Linked DNA regions of Ovis aries. The protein of the gene in region 1 interacts with the protein of each later gene in a pairwise test. Links are inferred from orthologs where the notes say so. Each region holds a gene or a part of one and is shown in the gene's direction. Other genes may lie near its edges.

Region 1 (10,992 bases):
ATCTGGGCCCCATGCCCAGTAGATTTGGAATGAGTTGGAATTTGCGAATCTTTAGCAAGTTCTTAGATGGCAGACAAATACACCAGGGTTAAAGTGCAGGGTTAGAGTGCAACATATGTACTCATCATACTGCTCAAGGGTGAGAGCTGTGACCCGAAGAGCTCCCCTTGGTGAGAACTCACTGTGTGCCAGGCACCATGCTTCAGGCCTTCCACTAATTCCCCAAGTGACCCTGTGAAGGAGGTGTTCTACTTCCTAAATCCATTTCAGAGATGAGAAAAGTGTGTGTGTGTGTGAGAATTGCTCAGAGTGTCTGACTCTTTGTGACCCCATGGACTGTAGCCTGCCAGGTTCTTCTGTCCATGGAATTCTCCAGACAAGAATACTGGAGTGGGTTGCCATTCCCTTCTCCAAGAGATGAGAAAAATGAGGCTCAAATCACCAATCGGCCAAGCGTGGGGCTGAATTAGATTCAAACCCCGAGCTCCAAACAGTAATGATGACTGGCCCTTACAACCTCAGAGTGAAAGAAATCAGAGTGAAAGACGAGATAAATACGAGGGTTAACGGTCATGCAGAGCCCTTGTTTAAAAAGGCCTTGAAAAGCAGGTTCCTTACAGAAGCCACAGGGCTGCCAGCGAGAGTCAAAATATCCATTAGCTAGTTCTTAATGACTAGAGCCAAACCCTGCCAGGGGAGCAGAGCCAAGAAATGCTTTTAATACCCTCTTTTCTGAGGTGAGGGCAGTGTGGCCTCTCTCAGCCCCCAGTTCTGCACACAGAATGATGGTGCAGTCCTCCAAAAACCCATAGAGCTGACTTCAGCCTAGAGCAGAACTCCCCAGAGATGCCCCCAAACCACACCCCCATCACACACAAGGAAGCCGCTTTGCTCTCTCCCCTCCGCCATGATATACTTTTGCTTCCTCCTAGAGAATTCTTTTGGCAGGGACCAATGCACCCTCCCCTCACCGGAGCCCCTAGTGATATCTGATCTCACCAGTCATCCGACACCGCACCCCAAAACCTCAGCTCTTCTAAAGGTCATTCCCCTATTCCTGGCTTGGCCTGGAGTCTGATTGAGCTGTGCAACTGTGACTGTCACTAGCTCTGCCTCAGGCCTCAAGGAGCCAATCTTCTGTCACCCATCCTGGGTGTGACCCACTCCAGCCATTTGGCTGGACTCCAGTCCATGCCTGGAGCAGTGGCAGATCATCTGTGTCCCACGGCAGGAGCAGAGTGGATTGGAGCAGACCGGTTCTCCCTTCCTGTCTCTAAGGACATGCTGTTCCTATCCCATGAGAGGCAGACTTTCTGCCTCCCCTCTTCTTCTCTGCCTAGAGAGAAAATTTATTTGCTTTGATTGAATCACCCATTCAACGTTCATTTGTATCTCAGGCACCTGCTGAGCCTGAGTCCCCTGGTAGCTCAGTGGAGATAGGAGGTGAACTGTCCCTGCCTTAGCAATCTTGAAAGAAGTTAGTATTCACGGCCCTGGGAAGCAGTGGGATCAAAGCAGGATCGCAGGGCTGGAAGCAGGCAGGCCTGGCCTCATCCCAGCCCCCTTCCCTAGTTGTATTCCTTTGCATGATCACTCCCTCTCTGAACCTTCATTTCCTCTTTTGTAAGGAGGCCCTCTACTCAAGGTTCTGATAAAGAAATGTGACTCCTTTTAAATAGTAAAAAAAAAAAAAAAAATTAAATAGGAAAATTACCATTTTTAAGGAAAACTAAAAAGACTTTTTAAAATCATTCATGGACACAGTCTGTGCCTGGCACAGAGTAGGTGCTCAGAAATGGAAGGTGAATGACAGCCAGCTTGGTCTCAGGCCAAGAAAGAAATCCACAAAACCAGCAGGTGGTTTTCATCATAGAGTGTGTGTGCTTTCCCTGTCTTAATGACTTGCAATTGTATGGGGTCGTAAGCGTATAGTGGAACCATCTCTGAGCTGAACACTGGGGCGTAAGTGTGGGGCCAGGGCTAACTGATCTCTGGCCCTCAGTCTCCTCATCTATAAAATGGGAAGAAAGAAGGGATGTGCATGCATGCTAAGTTGCTTTAGTCGGGTCTGACTCTCTGCTTCCCCATGGACTATAGCCTGCCAGGCTCCTCTGTCCATGGGATTCTCCAGGCAAGAATACTGGAGTGGGTTGCCATGCCCCCCTCTAGGGGCTCTTCTCAACCCAGGGATCGAACTCAAGTCTCTGGAGTCTCCTGCACTGGGAGGCGGATTCTTTACCACTAGTGCCAACCGGGAAGCCTAAAAGAAATGACCTCCCCCCCAAATGACTTCTTCCAGCTCCTTCCAGTTGTTAGGAACATTGCCTCCTGGCTGATTTCTCAACATCACAAGGAGCTGATTTCTTCCCAGGAGTGGTGGATGGTACCCTCTGATCCACTGGGCAAGTGGGACTTTCCAGGCCTCTCTGTTCCCTTCTCCCTTGAAAAGGAAACAGCTCCAGGCTTTGGTGCCCTTCCCTCGCCCACCTCCCTCACCCCAACTCCTCTCCCGCAGGACTGGGCCCCTCGCTGCCCTCGCTGCTGCCCGCTCTGCGACTGTGCCTGTGCGTGCCAACTTCCTGACTGCCAGAGCCTCAACTGCCTCTGCTTTGAGATCAAGCTCCGATGACGATCCAGGGTCCCTGCTCTTTGGGGAGCGGCCAGCCCCCAGGGGCCACAGGCCCTGTTCCCTGAGGGGACTCAGGACACCTTTCTCCAGGCCATTGGAACCACAAATGGCCTGCCCAGCTCACCGACCTGGGAACCAGCAGTGGAGAGCCTGGCTCCCTGAAGAGCGGGACTCACAGAGCCCTTGGCCAACAGGACGGCAGCCCCTTGGCAGGGCCAGAAGAGAGAGGGGCTGGTGCTCCAGCAGGTCCCCCTGCCCTTGACTCCCCCTCCCCAAGTAACTGATCATATTTGAAGGTGAGGTTGGGGGACACTGCTCACCGTCCAGAGCATGGGACAAACTTGACTATCTGTAGGGTTACCCCAGGCACACCCTGTCCATGGACTCTTGGTTATTTTGAGGTGTGACTGTAGTGCCTGCCTGTGTGCTCTGCCTCTGAAGAATCAGGACAGCCCTGTGAGGCCCAGAGTCAGGGGATGGGGGGTCTGAGGAGGAGGCAGGGAAGGCCACAGGTCTGCATCCCCTTACCCGTCCTTCCTTCCTCACAGATTGCTGTCCAGAGATTTACTTCTCTTGACAGCCTGTTGAGGGCCTCAGTCTGGATGTCCAAGGAAGAAATCTCTGAAGTACCGGTGAGTGGGCAGGGGGCCCTCCCCGCTACCCCCAAAATAGGCAGGCCCACAAGCTTCTTCCCCATCCTTCACTTTAGGCCCCACGCTGGCGTGAATGTCAGGGGCTTCAGGTTTCCCTAAATATAGGTCCCTGCCAGGGGATCTGTGGTGAGCAAAGGGCAGGGGTCACCGGAGAAGGTCGGTTGGGGGGAGGGCGGGAGCTGCCTTATAACCCAGTCCGGGCGGGGCCTGGCTCACTCGCTGCTGACCAGGCTCGCCAGCGCCTTTGGCTTCCTCCTCACAGGTGGGCGCCAGTCGGACGGAGCGGGGTTGGGGTTGGGCTGAAGGCTCCGAGATTTAGGAGGGGGAGACCCGGCCGGTAGGATGGGGAGGCTCGGAAAGAATGTGGGAGCCAGACAGCCAGGGGGCGGATTTGATTTTGGAGAGGGAAGTCGGCGCCAGGGAGAAGTTTTGCAAGCACTCTGGCCCCATATCCCCAGACTTGCTCGGGCCGAGTGGCGGCCCGAGCGGGTTCCCGCCGGGTCCGGCTTCCCGCGGCGGGCGCGTGCGCACTCGCGGGCCACGTTGGCTCTCCCGGTCCCGGGAGCCGGACCTGCCGGGATGGAGCGCGGACGCGGCGGGGATACCCGCCGGGCGGGATACCCGGAACCGCTGCCGGCTCGCGCTCCGGGAGCCTGCCCGCGCTGCCCTCTCCTGCGCCCGGGCGGGCAGTCCCCGGGCCCCTAGATTCGGTTACAATGTGACACTCGCTGCCTCAGTGCCTCCGGAAGCTGGGGCTGCCCCAGACCGCCCGATGGGCCTGCGGGAGGGAAGCTGAGCCTCGCTGTTTTCGGGCTCTGCCACCCGCTTTTCCTCCGAACCCACCCCATTCCCATCTCCTCTGGGGCCCCAAATTCGGCTGAGTCACGGCGCCCCGAAGCACGCCAGGCGGAGGGGAGGGGGGTCGGGGGAGGAGAGGAGTTGGGGAGGGCCCCGGCGACCCGCGGGATGTGGCCCGAGTCACGTCCGAGGGGTAACGAGGGGGAAGGGCTCCGGTTCTCGCCGGACAGTCCCCGCCCAAGCGCCGCCTCCCGGCTTCGCCCTTCGGGGGCGGCCTTTCGCACATTTCCTCGCCTGCCATTGGACGCCGGGGCGCCTCCGGCCCCCTGCAAAGGGAAAAACCCGGCGCGGGGCGGAGCGGTGCCTTTATAAGGCCCGGCACCACCTCCTGCCCGCCCGCCCCCGCGCCCCGCCTCAGGAGTAGAATAGGCTGCGTTCCTCTTGGAACGCGCCGCCGAACCGGAGTCCTGGTGACGAGTGCCGCGTTCCCTCCCTCAGTCCACTCCGCCAGCCCTCCACCGCTGCGCCCCGCCAGCCTGCCCCTCTCCTGTGCCAGGTGAGCGCTCCCCGCCACGTGCGAAGGTCAGGGAGGGGGTCGTGGCGAAGGATCCCGGGGGCAGACGCGGTCGGGGGTCCGCACGGAGCCCCCCAACCCGGCCCCAGCATCTTCCTCCTCCGCCACCACCCACACGTTTGCTCCTAGCCCGGCCTCCCCGACTCTTCCAGCCTGAGCTCCCTGGGTTTGCTGCGCAACGCAGCAACCGCTCCGCGCGCTGAGTCACAGCGGGGAGGAAGGAAGCCAGGCGAGATGAAGGGCCGTTCCCCGCTCCCCTTTTCTTGTTAGGACTCCGGGTGCAAAAATGACGGCCCCTTTGCCTCTGCAGGGATCCTAGGAGGCATCGAGAGGTGGGAGCCAGCTCATTTACTGCCTCAGGGTTCCCAAAAGCGGGTGGTTGGTCCCTATCCTGGGAGACCGGTGCTCCTGGCCAGGAGGGGAAACCTCTTGGCAGCGCATGAAGCCCCATTAACACTTTCCCTATCTTTCCTTATCGGGTGACCTTGATTCTGAGCCTGGAACAGCTGCAGCCGCGGAGCAGACAGGAGCATTTTCAGGGGAAGGGGTGGGGCGCTTGCCTCTCCTCCACGTTGTCTTACCCTGCATGAGCAGTGAGGCCAACCCTCACTCCTTTCCTACGCGCCCCCCGCCCCCCCGGGCTAGGTTTCCTTCGCCGCCCTTTTCTGGGCTTCCGAGGACCACCCCACACCGCCACCTTTTTCCTAACACCCTCCCCCCCGCCTTGGGGGAGCAGCCTGACCTTGGGGTGTCCTTGAGGCAATGGAACCTGGGCCAGCCCTGGGATCTCAGGTGGACTGGAAGGAACACTCGTATCACAGCCAGAGATCTGAGTTCTAATCTCAGATCAGGCCCTTGGGTTGCTGTGTGGCTTGATACACAGCTTTTTTCCCTTCTCTGGCTTCTTTCAGATGAGAAGGTTGGGCCTGCTGCCTTCCGCACAACTTCTAATTCCAAAATACTCCGGTTTGGTTTTGCTTCAGGGCAAGGTGACCCCCATGGCACAGCGCAAGCCAGAAGGGTCCGGCTTCCACATGACCTGCCTGTCCATGGCTCTGGCCTATTCCTTTAGGCCAGATGCCAATATACAGCCCCACCCTCAGCTGGGTAACACCCAGAAACAAACAGAGTTAGGAAAGGTACAGGAGGCAGGCCTACTATAGGGAAGTTGGGTGTAAGGGAGAGCCTGGGGCAGGAAGTGCCCCGAGACCTGCCGGGAGTGGGGCAGGGGAGGTAGGAAACCTTTCCCCTGACCTCCAGGCAAGGGGCCCTGCTGGTTGGGAGACCAGGGGAAGACTCCACTAACTAGCCCTCCCCCATGTGTCTCCTCGCCCAGGAACTGACAGGCACCATGCCCCACCAATACCCAGCACTCACCCCGGAGCAGAAGAAGGAGCTCTGTGACATCGCTCACCGGATTGTGGCTCCGGGCAAGGGCATCCTGGCTGCAGATGAGTCCACCGGTGCGGGCAGGGCACAGGGGGAGGAGGGCCCAGGGGGTGGGGTTGAGCGGCTGACCCCTTTAATTCCCATGTGATGCTTTCCTCCAGGGAGCATTGCCAAGCGACTGCAGTCCATTGGCACTGAGAACACTGAGGAGAACCGGCGCTTCTACCGCCAACTGCTGCTGACCGCCGACGACCGCGTGAATCCCTGCATCGGGGGCGTCATCCTCTTCCACGAGACGCTCTACCAGAAGGCTGATGATGGGCGTCCCTTCCCCCAAGTTATCAAAGCCAAGGGCGGCGTCGTGGGCATCAAGGTGAGGGGGCTAGGCCTTGGGGTGGGAGATGTGAGATGAATGCGCGTGTGCTAAGTCGCTTCAGTCATATCCGACTCTTTGCAGTCCTATGGACCATAGCCCACAGCTTCCTTTGTCCATGGGATTCTCCAGGCGAGAATATTGGAGTGGGTTATCATGTCCTCCAGGTAATCTTTCCCACCCAGGGATCGAACCTGCTGTCTCTTATGTCTCCTGCATTGGCAGGCGGGTTCTTACCACTAGCACCACCTGGGAAGCCCAGTGAGATGGATGAGGGGCAAGGAAATCCAGGATAACAGGCAGGGGTTGGGGTGGGGATGAACTGGGTGGGGAGACTTGGGTGGAGTCTGCCCCGATCACCTCCAAATTGTGTGTAAGAAGCCAGTAACTTATGGGACTTGCTTGGCATTTTAATCCTTGTGATTTTAAAAGCCACAGGTTATGTTTATATCATTGAAAAACCAGAAGCTCAAGGCCATGAAGTGTTTTGCTCACACTTAGTAAATGGTAGAATTCAAGCTCTCTGTGTGTGCCTCTTGGGACCAGATACCATGGCTAAGTGAAACACTGGCAAACCAGAAGGATACTTGAGAGATGAAGTAAAGCTGGGACAGGGTGGGGCTACAGAGGAGAAAAAGGCTGTAGAGCAAGAGTTTTTGTTGTTGTTTTTTAAATACTATTTATCTGCTGTGCTTGGTCTTCGTTGCAACACCCAGAATCTTTGATCCTCGTTGCAGAACACGGGTTCTTTAGTTGCGGTGTGTGAGATCTAGTTCCCTGATCAAAGATTGAAAAAAGGGCACCAGAGACCACTTCCCATCCTATCTTGTTGCCCTCCACCCCAACAGGTAGACAAAGGTGTGGTACCCCTGGCAGGAACAAATGGCGAGACAACCACCCAAGGTGAGAACCGCTTAGTTCCTGGCCCTACCAACCAGCCCACCCTGGTCGGTACCCCACTGGGTGCCCAGGCCAGGTGGGAGCCACCTGCCCCCTCCGCTGGCCAGCTCTGACCCCTCTGTCCCCTCTTCAGGGCTGGATGGGCTTTCGGAGCGCTGTGCCCAGTATAAGAAGGACGGAGCTGACTTTGCCAAGTGGCGTTGCGTGCTGAAGATCGGGGAACACACCCCTTCTTCCCTCGCCATCATGGAAAACGCCAATGTCCTGGCCCGTTATGCCAGCATCTGCCAGCAGGTGGGCCTGTAGGTCCCCAGCAGGCCACGACCCACCTGATTCCATTCCAGTGTGTCAGCTGGCCTGCCACCCATCTGCCAGCTTATCCCAAGGCTCCGAATCCTCACCAAGCTCCAGGCTTGGGTCCATGAAGGGCTCTGCAGGCAGAAGGGCAGAATAGGGATTATGTGGGTGGATCTGAGGAGACAGCTAATCTCCTCCAATCTGTTTTGAATTGGGGAGGGCTGTGTAGCCAGGAGTCCTGGAGATAAGATCTTGGTGAATAGCTGTGGAGGGCTGGAGGTGGGGCTCTGGGTTAGGAGGCCTCACTGCTACCCTGTTCCTCACCCCACAGAATGGGATTGTACCCATTGTGGAGCCCGAGATCCTCCCTGATGGGGACCATGACTTGAAACGCTGTCAGTATGTAACCGAGAAGGTAGGTGGCCTGCCAGCCTGGGCAGTGAGGTGGGCTAGGGAGGTGGGCCGGGGCCCCTGGGGTGACCCTCGTCCCCCCAACTCCACCTCACCCCACTTCGGTCCCACCCTGCTGTAGGTGCTGGCTGCTGTCTACAAGGCTCTGAGTGACCACCACATCTACCTGGAAGGCACCTTGCTGAAGCCCAATATGGTAACCCCAGGCCACGCCTGCACCCAGAAATATTCTCACGAGGAGATTGCCATGGCAACTGTCACGGCACTGCGCCGCACAGTGCCCCCCGCTGTCCCTGGTGAGACCCATTCCTCATCTTGACCTCTGGGAGGTAGATGGACTTACCCGTGATCCTTGTGCCCATATGGTCTTGATTTCCAGGTCAGCTTCTAGGGCCTTCTTCCAGTCCCCTGGGTTGCTTGACTACAACCCCTCCCCCCATGTCACCCCCTCATTCTACAGGTATCACCTTCCTATCCGGAGGCCAGAGTGAGGAGGAGGCATCCATCAACCTCAACGCCATCAACAAGTGCCCCCTGCTGAAGCCGTGGGCCCTGACCTTCTCTTATGGCCGAGCCCTGCAGGCCTCTGCCCTGAAGGCCTGGGGTGGAAAGAAGGAGAACCTGAAGGCTGCCCAGGAAGAATACGTCAAGCGAGCCTTGGTAAGGATGGAGCAGGAGGCGGGCAGGGTGCTGGGGTGGACCGGATTCTAAGAAGGGACCTTCTCACTCTGGCTCCTCTCCCTTCTTAGGCCAACAGCCTTGCCTGCCAAGGAAAGTACACCCCAAGTGGTAAGGCAGGGGCTGCAGCCAGCGAATCCCTCTTCATCTCTAACCACGCCTACTAAGCCAACGTGTTCTAAGGCTGCCCCCTCAACACTCCAGGCCCCGTCCCCTCCCACACTCACTCTTGAAGAGAGGGGCTTCATCTGGGGCTCCAGGCTGCTCTTTCCCGTCACTCTTGCCTCCTTGTGACATTGGTGCCTGGTGTTGTCTGTGTACGCTAACTCCACTGTTTCCAGCCTACTGCCAATAAACAGCTATTTAAGGGGGAATCTGGTGTGCATGTCTGTGATCTCTAGGGCAGGGGAGGCCTGGGGGAGGTGGCAGAGCCCAGAGAAGAAAGAGCCCTTGCTTTATTTCTTTCTGAAGCAGAAAAGTAGGTGAAGGAGATGGACTCCTTTAGTACTCTGTTTGATGCTTACCCGGGGCTTCATGAGAAAAGCTTGTGGATTTTCTTCCAACCAGCCAGTGCTCTGCTCCTTCTACCAGCAGCATCTGATAAGGCCTTTACAGTTAGGAAGTGTGTGTGCAGCCTCCTTAGGAGGCTGCAGCCTCAGCCTCAGTTTTAGGCCCAGAACTCACAGGTATAGAAGGCCCCTGTGACATACATACAAAAAATAGCCACTGACAAAAAGTAAGCTGTCCTGAATCTGTAAACTGGGCAACATAAGTATTCTATGCTATGCTATGCTAAGTCACTTCAGTCAAGGACCCAAAGATGAGTGTTTCTTGAAGAGATGAATGCGATTACTGTTGCTGCTAAGTCGCTTCAGTCGTGTCCGACTCTGTGCGACCCCATAGATGGCAGCCCACCAGGCTCCCCCGTCCCTGGGATTCTCCAGGCAAGAACACTGGAGTGGGTTGCCATTTCCTTCTCCGATGCATGAAAGTGAAAAGTGGAAGGGAAGTCGCTAAGTTGTATCCGACTCTTAGCGACCCCATGGACTGCAGCCTACCAGGCTCCTTGGTCCATGGGATTTTCCAGACAAGAGTACTGGAGTGGGGTGCCATTGCCTTCTCCAAAGTATTCTATAGGAGTATGCTATTACCAATTCGTCCTTAAGACATCTTGCTGGGAAATGTATTGATTGAAACAAGATTATGAATGCATATCCTTAATACGGTTGAGCTCATCAGTCTTCCCATCTTTAAAAGGAGAAGGGCTGACTTCTGAGCTGTGGAACCCCTTGAAGAACCTGGGATCCTAACACCCACATCAACAACAGACAGACAAATATGTACCAACAGAACTGTGGCGCTCAGGTTCCAGGTTAAGAATTGAACCTCTGTGGCTTCTGCACTCAATGCAGCCAGAATGAGGGTCCTGCACTTACCCTATGTCATGCCTGGAACCCTTCCCCATTCACCCAGGCTGTGGAGTATACTAACGACACCAGATCTTTTCAGGTATTAAAGATTCTAGTCATAGCCAGGGACTGCATTAGTCCTGCCACTGCCCAAATTTCCTGATGTGAACTCTTTCCTGTCTGAGTGCCACTCTAGAGGAAGAAAAAACATTTTTCATCTTTCTGATCTCTGTACCTTCTGAAGTCCTACAGTCATCTGCATAGAAACCTAGCACCTCCTGGGAGTTGTTTGTCCTTTCCCTTTCTCTGCACATTTGCATTTGTTGCCTACATCCAAAACCGAGCTGTATCTAGTGTCCCTTCAAATCGGCCAGCCTCACTACTGTACCTAGCCTCACTCAGCTCTCTGTGAAACAGTCTGAAGTAAAGCAAATAAAAATTGAGGGTCCATAGAAGATAGCAAAATGGACATTCCAAAAGGCCTCTGGCACCAAGAAATTTGTTGAAAGACCAGTCACTTCCTCTGCCTGCAGCAAGAAACTAGGGAAGCAGAGGACTTCAAATGCCAGTTTAGGGTGTTTTTATAAAGTTTATAACAACAACGTGAACACCAGAAAGAGTAAGTGGCAGAAGGAGAAGAAATTAGAACTTAGGACACAGCTTCCTGGGTTCAAATCAACTTTGATTCAAATCCAAAGCTCTTAGCTATGCAACTGTGAACAAGTTACTTAACCTCTTTTAGCCAGTTTCCCTCTTAGAAAAACCAACACAACTGTAGACAATAAGCAGCTGAGTTCAAGGGATCATTCTGGAATCAGGGAGGTCATGTTGATTGAGGTATACGCTTGGTGTGGGGAAGGTGGAGTCCTTTTGGCTTCTAA
Region 2 (11,019 bases), on another chromosome or scaffold:
AAAAATGGTGTATGTATGTGTGTGGGAAGGAGAGGGGTGCAAAAGCAGTGGGGAGTGGTGAGGGGAGGGCCAGACGAGGTCAGTACTGGGAACGCCGCAGGTGAGAAGCCATTTCATAACATTTCTTGTTGATCATACCGCCGTGGACACCTTCTTTGCCCATCAGCAGGACTAGCGCTGGAGGAAAGAGAAAGGAGGCTAGGACCCAGGTGTCACCACCCCACCCCCTGCCAGCTGTTCAGCAGCTGTCCAACCCTGGGGGCTGTAACCCAACCTCATCTCTCCCAACCCCCCACACACAGGCAGGCTGTCAGTCACCCTGAAACAATAGGTCTTTTCAAAAGGGGAAAATCAAGCTTAAAGGCTGGAAAGGAGCACAGTAAAATTTAGGGGTCAAAGGCTCCTGGACTGTTGACTCATGTGTTCAGGCTAGAAATGGCTGTGGATGAGCCGGCCACCTCCAAGTTTTCACAAAAGAGCTCAAAAGACAAGAGCAGAATGCTGACTTACAATGAACCTTTTACCTCCTCCAAGAAAACAGGGAGTTTCTCCTCTGAAAATGCTCAAGGTAAGAAGCAACTTAAGAGGTAATACAGTTCAACTTCTCTACACCGTATGGTGAGGCGTATGGTGAGGCACTGAGACAGAACTAGAGGAACAATTCGATGCCCCAGCATCCAGCAGGCTGGGAGTAGAAACCTGGTTTGATCCTTTCATACTAAGTGACCACACAGAAGAACCCAAAAGATTAACAAAAGGAGGTACGTTAGGGATTTTGGAGCTAGAGAATGGGTAAGAACTCACTCTTGGCAGTCATGGTGACAGTGATATTGAAAGTTGGGGCTCCACCGGTGCTCTTGGTACGAAGATCCATGGTAAATTCTCCATCCTGCAGCAGTGAGTCCCGGATCACAGAACATTTCTGGCCCCCAAGCGTTAGCCCATTCACGAAAAAACTTGACCGGTCTTTGCCAACCAGGATACCGACCTCAGCAGGCTGAAAAGGGAACCAAGCACCCAGCAAGTTAGTCAATACACCAAAGTTCTCACCTGTCTTCCATTTCTCAAGGAAGCTAAGCCCCCTGGGGTGAAAGGTGTATGTTATGTGCTTTGTACACATTCGTGAAATTTGAGAAACTCAGGATTGTTGGAAGTGCACAAAAATATGATCTTGAAACCTAGAGAATGGTACTAGGAAGGGACAACATGGTCCTCTGACTCAGATGTCGATTTAGATGTCGTTTAATAGGGAAAGCAAACCCAGTAAATAAATGGGGCCAAAAACCAGTTAAGAGAATGGAGTGGAGAGCCTTGGATGCTCAGAACTCTCCTTCAGGAAAAGCAGAAGCGAAGAGGGGAAGGGAGGGGGCGGGCAAAGCAGGAGAAGCAACTTTGCCCTTATTTGGTCAAAGGTTCTGCAGGAGTTGTTAGGGGCCCGGACGCCTGGGTCTCTAAGTAACTTAGAGTTTAGGTTCAGGTATCTATGCTCTAAGATGAGCAAGCAGATGCCTTGGGGCATTCAGCGAAAGTCGAAGAACTTTTGGAGGGGGCCTGGGGCTAGACCCGACAGCCAGCTCTCGGGTCTAGATACCCCGGGGAACGTATCTTCCCCTCCCCCTTACACCCCAAATCCCCACATCCGGTCCCCTCCCGCCCGGAAATCCCCTTCCCCCCCTTTCGAACTTCCGCTCCCCCTCCCCACTTCCGGGCAGTGTGGACAGGGGAGTTGGTGATGGGGACAGCAGCAGTCATCCCTTCTTCCTTCACTTATACTGTCCTAGAACTTCTCACAAAGTTCCCCTGCTCCAGGCCCTGCCTGATGGCGGGAAGGGAAGGCGAGGGGACTCCCGGGACTGGTCTCTCAAGAATGCTGAGTCCGACCGGCCGACTGGCGGGGAGGGGGTCGTCGTGTGGCGCCCTAGCCCTCTCTAATGGAGTTGGGAGGGGCAGGGAACCCACGGAGATCGGGCTAGGGACCCAGGCCATGCGACTGGGGCTCCCTCCCGGTTCAGAGGAACAATAGTGGAAGGGGCGCGAGCTGGCGGCCGGAAGTGGAGCTAGGGGTCCCGGGGTCCCCAAGTCCCTGCTCAATCAAAATCCTGGGTAGAAACTACGGCGCGTGCCCGACCCGCCCTGGAGGAGGCGGAAGTGGGCCGCCGCACCGGGCGGCGCACCCTCCCCGCCCCGTGCCCCGGATGTAACGCCCCGTCGCGGAAAGCGGGGCGGCGGGCGGGTTGGGCGCCGCCGCCCGGGGCGGAGGATTCAGGGGGCCATGGAGGGGCCCGCTCACGTGCAGCCGCCATTCGCGCCACTTCCAGGGCAAGGACCGGGTCACGGCCTTTCGCCGCCCTCCGCAGACCGCGCCCGCCCCCACCCGAGTCCCTCCCTCAGGGTCCAAGCCGGGCCAGTCCCCAGGACTGTGCAGGCCTCTCAGTACCGTGATGTTGACGAAGGTCTTGCCGGGGACGGCGGCCCAGACGGAGGGCGAGTCCTTATAGCCCACGATGGCTGCGTCCTGACAGGTCCCGTCCGCCATGAGGTTGTCGATGTAGGCGTTCCACCCGGCCATGGCGCTGCTATTGGGGCTGCTCTCGGGGCTGCTGCTGGGGCCGCGGGCTGGGCTCGGGCTGGCGGGCGGGGGAAGACGGAGAGCTTGGGGCACGCGCTGCCGTCCGGACCGCGGCTCTGCTAGCTGTGCAGCAGCCCTCGCACCGCCACTTCCTGCTCCTCCCCACCCCCCTAGATTTTTATTTGCAAAGGGCGGTGGGGGCGGGGCTTGCTCCCCACTCCCTCTCTCCCTCCCCTCTCCTGCCCAGATACCGAACTTTGCAAATGCATTTTAAAAAATCCCTCCCCCTATTGCAAAATTTGCAGAGTTCGATGGAAAGCGAGGCAAAAAGAATCGGGGTGGGTGGGGATGGGTTAAGGTTAGGGCCCGCTCCACTCCGCCTAAACTATCAGACTTTAGTGGAAGGAAAGGTAGTGAGCCACAGGGAAGAAGGAAAGTGAAAGAAGTAAGAATTAGCAAACTGCAAATTTAGCAAATTAAAGAGGATTCGGGTAACTCAGGGTTAAACAGAACGACTCCCCCTTCCCCCACCTCTGCCGGGGGCAGGAACGGCGGGCGGCGGCGGGGCGCGTGCGCCCGCGCCTGCGCCGGGGCCGAGAGGGAAAGCGCGTGGGGCGGTTAGGGCAGACGGCGGGCTTCGCGGGCGCGCGCCCGGGCGCGCCAAGCGGGACTGATTTGGACCCTCGGTGAGGGCAGGCAGGCCGGGGACGTGTCTCCCGCCGGGCGGAAGGGGCGGAGGCGAGGCGTGGCGTGTGCCTGGCCGCTTCTGCCCTCTTGATTTTATTTATTCAAGAAATAAGGTAGTAAAAGGAAATTAGACCAAATACCCCCGGCCGTCTTCAGAATTGAAGGCACCCACCAGGGACACTTCTGTCCCCAGCATCTGCCCGGGCGGCACAAGCGGTACTCACTGGAGCCCACCTCGACTCCAGGGGGTTGTGACTCACTGGATCGGCTCCAGCCTCATTCCTCACTCCACGTCCCAGCCCTGCCCGAACCCCGGTCAGCAGTTTGGGTCACCGGCTGTGCCCCTTGGCCCGTGTCTGCAGAGGTCATTGAGCACCGTGGGGCCAGACGGGCGGGCCTATTTTCCAAGGCGGAAGAATACTAAGCGGTTTCTCAAGATTGCAACTTTTTCAAGAGGAGGAAAGTCCCTTCAACTTTGCCCTTTTGGGTTTTTCTTGTTCTTTTTCAGTAAAACTTAAGCTAAGAACTTGTGTGCGATGAGTTCGCTGGCTATCCACCGGGAAGCGGGTGGGGCAGGACCTGGAGTCCGGCTTAGGTGACTCTAGCTCGCGCTGGCCGCCGGGGCCGCTGAGGGGCTAGGCCGCTTCCGGTCCCTCGGGGGAGGGGCGGCTCCCGGGCGCGAAGGGGCTTCGTTTCCCTCCTGTCCTCCGTAGCGGGCGCGGCCACTCGGAACCCACGGAGCACCCGACGCCCCCCGAACCAGTGTTCCTCGACAGCCGCCGCGGCTGAGTCACTGGCCAACTCGGGCGGGGCCGCAGGCGGGCACGTGGCGGCGCTCCCCGCCCGCCATCCTGACCTCTGGCCTACCGCACCCCCTACCCCAGGGTGGAAATCTCCCGAGAGGGAGCGGCCAGAGATAAGGGGGTGGGGGGTGGCGAGAAGGCTGGGAGACACACCGCGGGGCAGGGCGGGGAGGGGAGCTCGGGAGAGAGCTTGGGGGTGAGTCACCGGGCGCCGGCCGCTCAGGCGCCGGCAGGCTAGGTCTCCTGAGTCCGGGGCGAAGAGCCGAGAAGCCGGTGACCCTCGCCCGCCGGCCGGCCAGCCGGCTTGAAACCCGCATGCCCTCCGCTCCTGGCCGGAGCTGCAGCCAAAGTCAGGGCTGACTTTACTTGCGCCGCACCCACTGAGACGGAGAGAGTCACAGACTGCAGAGACCCACTTCCCCGCCGTGCTAGAGGCCCACCCGATTGGCCCCCGGCGGTCAGACGCTCAGAAAGGGGCACTTCACCTTCTGTCCATTCATTTTTTGGGGGGTCACTTTTGATTCAGCACCATTCATTGATGGGCTGGGATCACGCCCTAAAGCGCCAGCAGTCGCGATCGGTGGAGAAAGGGCTTCTGACTGACAGCTTCCACGCCGGCGATAAGTGCTGTCCCAGCGCTATCAGCAGGGCGCCGCGCCAACTCCTAGGGCCTGTCTAAATTCGTCTGTCTCCCCCCCTCCCCCACTCCCCTCGCCGGCCTGGAGAGGGTAGGATGGGGTGGAGCGGAGAGAGACCGCCATGAGGACCCTGAGAGGTGAGACCCTCTCGCCTTCTGAGTGGGCAGTTCAATTTAGAGCTCTGCTCTCGGCCGGAACCCCCTCCCCAGCTCCCATTGAGGACAGAGGCAGTCCCCCGCCCGCCAAGTGAGCTATGGATGTCACTCCTGCAGCCCCTTTTCCAGGCCCCCTCCCCAGCCCTGTAGGGCTCAGGTTACCCTTGGCCTTTCCTAAAGGGCACTAGTTCCTCTTTAACCTTTGCAAAAGAGGAATACAATCCTGACACGGGGAGAGACCCCTCCCCCCAATTCTGAAGCCCCTCTCCTCTTTCTGCCCAGGAACGGAATTAAAAATAAGGACTTTTATTGGAGAACAGAGAAAGGAGGGGATAGTCATTGACCTTTTGGGAAGGGGGCAGGTGCCTAGGGCCAAAAGCTGCTGCTTTAGGCTGTAGTGGGCACTTGGCTGCCAGCCTGGCTTCAGGGGGAGGATGGAGAGGGGGAGAGGCGGGGCTGGCTGGGGTACAGGGTGGCTCCAGGATAAATTCCCGGCCTGAGAGGGGGTGAGCTGACACTGTCCCAGCTGCCACCTAGACTTAGAGCCCAGCGAAGACATCCCAGGTCTGGTGAATCTTCCAGCCCCAGGGGATGGGGGTGGTAAAGGATGAGGGCTGTGCTGGCCTGGGGGAAATGTCAGCTTGTGCTTAAGAATCCTGGAGGAGTTGGAGCATACAGGATGGGGGTACCCAAGGATAGGAAAACGAGACTGTGAAGAGAGGCATACAGAGATGACGGAGAAGGGGAGTTAGAGTTGGAGCCAGGTGGTGGAATTTGGGCCCCCTGAGGATTTGGAGAAGGCTGAGGAGCAGGAAAAGTGAGGTAGAGTAACAGGAGAGGCTTTAAAGGCTAGGAAGCCATGGAAAACAGAGTATTTGGCCAGGGGGTGGAGGGAGAAGGCATAGTGCAGCTTTGTGGGAGATGGGGTTCAGCAAGTGGTGGAGTTTTAAAAGAGAGGCCCCATATTCTGAGGATGGGAGGGTGGAATAGGAGCTGTTCTGAGTGGGGGAGGGGGCTGTGCCTGCCACTTTGGTCTGTGACCTTTTTGTGAGGTATTTTTAGCTCCAGCACCTGCCTCCTTGGGGTGGGGAAGACTCTTAAAGGGCAAGGGATTTGGGGTTCCTTAAGGGATCAGCTGTCCACACTTACTCACACCTCTCACCCTGCAGCCATGGCCATGCAGAAAATCTTTGCCCGGGAAATCCTGGACTCCAGGGGCAACCCCACTGTGGAGGTGGACCTGCACACGGCCAAGGGTAACCCAGGGCTATTGAACTGGTTTACCTGGGAAGACCCCCAACTCCATCTGCCTTTGCCCCCCAGCTGCATGCCACATCCACTCTTTTCTCTGGAATCCCCTTCTCCAGACTTCTCCCCAAGCCTTGCTCTTCCAGCTTGACTCCGCCCCCCCCACCCCACAGTGAGGAGCCATGGTCTCTCTACACTGCCCCCTGTCTCTGGGTTCCAAGAGGAGACCTCGGCCCTTTGGAGGTGAATGGGATTCTCTGTGATCTTCCAATTCCTCCCATCCCAGGCCGATTCCGAGCAGCTGTGCCCAGTGGCGCTTCCACAGGTATCTATGAAGCTCTGGAACTAAGAGATGGAGACAAGTCTCGCTACCTGGGGAAAGGTGAGGAAAGACCAAGGCTGGAGGAGCCATATGTGAGGGGGGCTTTCAGGATGTGGCATGAAATGTCTGCATAAGGTAGAGAAGGGGTCCCCAAACTCCAGGGCACGGACTGGTACCTCTTGTCAGATCACTGGCAACATTAGATTAGAAATAAAGTGCACAATAAGTAGAATGCACTTGGATCATATGGAAACCATCCCATACCCCTACCCCATGCCTGGTCCATGCAAAAACTGTCTTCCATGAAATTGGTCCCTGGTGCCAAAAAGGTTGGGCATCGGAAGAAGAAGGGAAACTGAAAGTTCTCCAGGAGCTGGGGGCCTCGGGAAGAGACCTGATTGCATAGGAGATCTGAACCCCCTGCTTTGCGGCCTCTCCAGGGGTCCTGAAAGCTGTGGAACACATCAACAAGACCCTCGGCCCCGCGCTGCTGGAAAAGGCAAGTAGAAGACGCACTCCACCTGCTGCCTCATCCCCAGAAGCTCAGGCTTGGCCAGCCAAGCCTTCTGACCCGATACCTGCATGTCTTTTTCCTCTAGCTCACATCCTGACTCCTGAGAAATCTAACTTCTGCTCTCCCCTCCTTAAACTTGCCTTTTCAGAAACTAAGTGTAGTGGATCAAGAAAAAGTTGACAAATTTATGATTGAGCTGGATGGGACAGAGAATAAATGTGAGTGAAGGGCTAGGGACAGGGGATGGGCTGTGGGGGCCAGGGCAGAGGTAGGGGCTGGAATGCAGGGGCGGGGTTGGGGAGGACTGTGGCCTGAGGTCTGGTTAGGATTATTTCTGCATCCTGCATTTTGGGGCACAGTGTAACGGGCGGGATTTGTACTCATCCCCCAGGCATTTCCTGATGCCTGCCCCATGCCAGGCTTGGGCCCGGCTGTGGATACAGACATGAAGTTGACAAGTTTCCCTAGGGTGGGGGATCCCGGGGCCGGGTAGGGTGGGGAAGAGATAGGTTAACTTACTCAGTGCCCAGTGGTTTGGAGCTCTGGATTCTTTCTGGGGTGACCAGAGGGGACATTCTGGGAGACAGCCCTAAACCCTGTGGGTGGAGCACTCACAGTTTATACTTGCTTCCTCCAGCCAAGTTTGGGGCCAATGCCATCCTGGGCGTGTCCCTGGCCGTGTGTAAGGCTGGAGCAGCTGAGAAGGGGGTGCCGCTTTACCGACACATTGCAGATCTTGCGGGGAACCCAGAGCTGATCCTCCCAGTCCCTGTGAGTGCAGCCACCAGGTCACACCCCACAGGCACTCCACCCATCGGGGGAGGGCAGGGGCAGCCCCCAGAAAATCCACCTTCCAGACCCAACTTCCAAGAAACAGTTTCTCGAAATGGAACCTCTCCTACTGCCGTCCCCTTTCAACCTTCCCCTTTCCCACAGTCCAAACCTTCCCTTCAACCTCTCTCTGCTTCTTTCCCTAGATGTAACTGGCTCCTTCACGTTCCAATCCCAGGCTTAGTTACTCCACTTTTTCATTCTGCTGTGCCCCAACGCCAGATTGGATGGAGAGCTTCTTCATAGCAAAGATCTGGGCGTTTTATTTTTGTGTCTTCTTTAATCCTTATGAAACCAAATTTGCTCTTTATGGAAACCCTTTGAATTTAATCGCAACAATAATGTTACCATTTATTGTTACTTACTAGGCAGATTGTGTAAGAGCCTGAGCTCTGGAGACAAGCTGCTGGGTTCGAATCCTGGTTTTGTCTCTTACCTAGTTGTGTGACTTCTGGCAAGTTTATTGAACTTCTCTGAGCCTCAGTTTCCTCATCTGTAAAGTGAAGGATAATAAACTGTACCTAGTTACAGGGTGGTTTAGAGAACGAAATGAGCCAATAAAATATTATAAAGAACTTAGAGCAGTGCCTGGCCTGTAGTGAGTGCCATGACAATGTTAGGTGCGCATGCTAAGAACTGTGCATCCAACTTCTCTTAATTTTTCACCTAAGATCCTTCAGGTAAGCAGATGATATCCCTATTTTATGAAAATGAGGACAGAGGCTCTGAGGAGTAAAATTTTTCATCTAGACCACTCAGTAAGTAGGGGATCCAGGATTCCATGTTGACTTCACCCCCCCCACCCCCGCCACCCCAGTCCCTTCTTGATTCCTGGAAAAACTGGCCCAGGTTCTGAGCACCCTCTCCCTGTCTCAGGCCTTCAACGTGATCAACGGGGGCTCCCATGCTGGAAACAAGCTGGCCATGCAGGAGTTCATGATCCTGCCTGTGGGAGCCAGCTCCTTCAGGGAAGCCATGCGCATTGGGGCCGAGGTCTACCACCACCTCAAGGGGGTCATCAAAGCCAAGTATGGGAAGGACGCCACCAATGTGGGTGATGAGGGTGGCTTTGCACCCAACATCCTGGAGAACAATGAAGGTCAGTGTGAGCACTTGGAGGGGCAGGACGCTGGGGGTCCCCACAGAGATGGGGTGCACTGGAGCCTCAAGTCCTCCCTTGCCCTCTCCCAGCCCTAGAGCTGCTGAAGACGGCCATCCAGGCGGCTGGTTACCCCGACAAGGTGGTGATTGGCATGGATGTAGCAGCATCTGAGTTCTATCGCAATGGGAAGTACGATCTCGACTTCAAGTCTCCTGATGACCCCGCTCGGCACATCAGTGGAGAGAAGCTGGGCGAACTGTACAAGAGCTTCATCAAGAACTACCCTGGTGAGACCCTGGCTTCCACTGCTCCTGCCCAAGTCTGCAGCAGCTGCTCAGCACACCGGCCTTGGCCCCTCTGCTGCCACCACCTCAATCCCTCCCATCCTTAGCCCCATTGCAATTTTCTGACCCATCACCCCTTTGTGAGGCCCTTCTGACCTTTAACCCGACTCTGCTTCCCTCCTCCACCAGTGGTGTCCATTGAGGATCCTTTTGACCAGGATGACTGGGCCACCTGGACCTCGTTCCTCTCGGGGGTCAACATCCAGATTGTGGGGGATGACCTCACAGTCACCAACCCCAAGAGGATTGCCCAGGCGGTGGAGAAGAAGGCTTGCAATTGCCTGCTGTTGAAAGTCAACCAGATTGGCTCGGTGACTGAATCCATCCAGGCGTGAGTGCCTCCTGGCCCAGGGCATCATGGCCTCCCTCCACCTAGCTCTACCCTCTCCAGCCACCCTCTTGCCCACTAACTCCAGGTCTGACTCCCGCTTGGCTCCTGACCCACCCCGCTCTCTCCACCTCGAACCTTTGACTAACTCCTGACCTGACCCTGGAACTTTGGTCATTGTCACGCTGCCTCAACCCATCCCCACCCTTGCCATCCCCATCTCCCAGATTCTGCTTCTTCCCACCAGCATCTCAGGAATCCAAATTTAAGATCAGGAATCTCCCCTTCTCTCTTTCCTCAAGAACTTTACCCTCCCCACACATCTCTCATCCCCCAAAATAAAACGGAAAGGCCTCACTCAGCCCCCTGCCTTTCACCCTGAGGAAGTCCCACCAGGCCTTATCAAGTGTCCTCTCCACCCAGCTGCAAACTGGCTCAGTCTAATGGCTGGGGGGTGATGGTGAGCCACCGCTCCGGAGAGACCGAGGACACCTTCATCGCCGACCTCGTGGTGGGGCTCTGCACAGGACAGGTACTCCTGGGCCCTCCTTTGCCCAGTGTCTGAGTTTTCTTAGAGTCCCTGGCTCCCTGCCCCAGAGCTGAATGCCACCACAGGTTGCTCCCTTGGGGCCAGGTGCAATCCCTTCTCTCTAATCGCTTGCAACTCCTGGAATTCTTCTCTCTTCAGATCAAGACTGGTGCCCCATGCCGCTCAGAGCGTCTGGCCAAATACAATCAGCTCATGAGGTACCGTGGGCACAGTGAGCCTGGGCATCAGGAGCTGAGGGCTTTTGGGTTGGAATATCACAGCCCTGACCGTGTCTGCCTTCCAGGATTGAGGAGGCTCTTGGGGACAAGGCTGTCTTTGCTGGACGCAAGTTCCGTAACCCGAAGGCCAAGTGAGAGGCTGGAGGCCCCAGGAGTGCACAGGACAGACCTGGGCCTTCAAGCCCTTCCCCCTGAAATAAAACACTGGTGCCAACCAAGTCAGTGGCCTGCTCGTTTATGGGAAGGGGGAGAGGAGATGCTGGTCCCTGGGCTGGATCAGACAGGAGGTGGAGAGGTAGGGGCAGGAGGGGCGAGTGGACATGGAACCCGCTGCAACAAGGAGGAAGTGAGGGACTGGTCAGAGAGGAAGTTGGGCTGGATGCAGAACCATTACACTCACATTATGGAAGGAGGCAGGGGAAAGCCTGTGCATTATGTGAAATGAAGCTGAAGAGGAACTGACAGAACATTGAACCAGCTCCAGAGGGGTGGAGGACCAAGGTCTGACATCACCATGAGGGGGAAGCTGGATCAGATCTGCCCGGAAAGGGAAATTTATGGGGTCTGCGGAGGGTACTGCAGTGCTGAGGTCTGAGTGCTTGTCCTTATGAAATTGAGGTACTTGGTGAGGATGGTCATGGGAACCAAAGCAGCTACATTTCCATGGAGCCTCGAGGATGGGAAACTATTATCAATATGCAATCTTTGAA

The links.
Region 2: the proteins of ALDOA (region 1) and ENO3 interact in a two-hybrid assay, tested with the Homo sapiens proteins (2 studies listed by BioGRID and IntAct, with this or other methods). The link is inferred for Ovis aries from reciprocal best matches to the Homo sapiens genes ALDOA and ENO3.

What each region holds. Positions count from the first base shown.
Region 1 is NC_056077.1:26,725,245-26,736,236, reverse strand, and holds ALDOA (fructose-bisphosphate aldolase A), read left to right. Parts: upstream 1-4,530; 5' UTR 4,531-4,636; intron 4,637-4,924; exon of another isoform or gene 4,925-4,986; intron 4,987-5,637; 5' UTR 5,638-5,652; coding exon 5,653-5,793; intron 5,794-5,990; coding exon 5,991-6,117; intron 6,118-6,204; coding exon 6,205-6,416; intron 6,417-7,264; coding exon 7,265-7,319; intron 7,320-7,449; coding exon 7,450-7,610; intron 7,611-7,944; coding exon 7,945-8,028; intron 8,029-8,145; coding exon 8,146-8,320; intron 8,321-8,484; coding exon 8,485-8,684; intron 8,685-8,773; coding exon 8,774-8,869; 3' UTR 8,870-9,076; downstream 9,077-10,992. Other genes in the region: late cornified envelope-like proline-rich protein 1, read left to right, coding at 2,516-2,629. UniProt on the Homo sapiens protein: Catalyzes the reversible conversion of beta-D-fructose 1,6-bisphosphate (FBP) into two triose phosphate and plays a key role in glycolysis and gluconeogenesis. In addition, may also function as scaffolding protein.
Region 2 is NC_056064.1:26,316,845-26,327,863, reverse strand, and holds ENO3 (beta-enolase), read left to right. Parts: upstream 1-4,763; 5' UTR 4,764-4,818; coding exon 4,819-4,834; intron 4,835-5,387; exon of another isoform or gene 5,388-5,416; intron 5,417-6,021; coding exon 6,022-6,108; intron 6,109-6,386; coding exon 6,387-6,482; intron 6,483-6,862; coding exon 6,863-6,921; intron 6,922-7,084; coding exon 7,085-7,154; intron 7,155-7,573; coding exon 7,574-7,707; intron 7,708-8,643; coding exon 8,644-8,866; intron 8,867-8,958; coding exon 8,959-9,156; intron 9,157-9,342; coding exon 9,343-9,544; intron 9,545-9,964; coding exon 9,965-10,073; intron 10,074-10,229; coding exon 10,230-10,288; intron 10,289-10,374; coding exon 10,375-10,444; 3' UTR 10,445-10,527; downstream 10,528-11,019. Other genes in the region: PFN1 (profilin-1), read right to left, coding at 80-177, 805-997, 2,438-2,569. UniProt on the Homo sapiens protein: Glycolytic enzyme that catalyzes the conversion of 2-phosphoglycerate to phosphoenolpyruvate. Appears to have a function in striated muscle development and regeneration.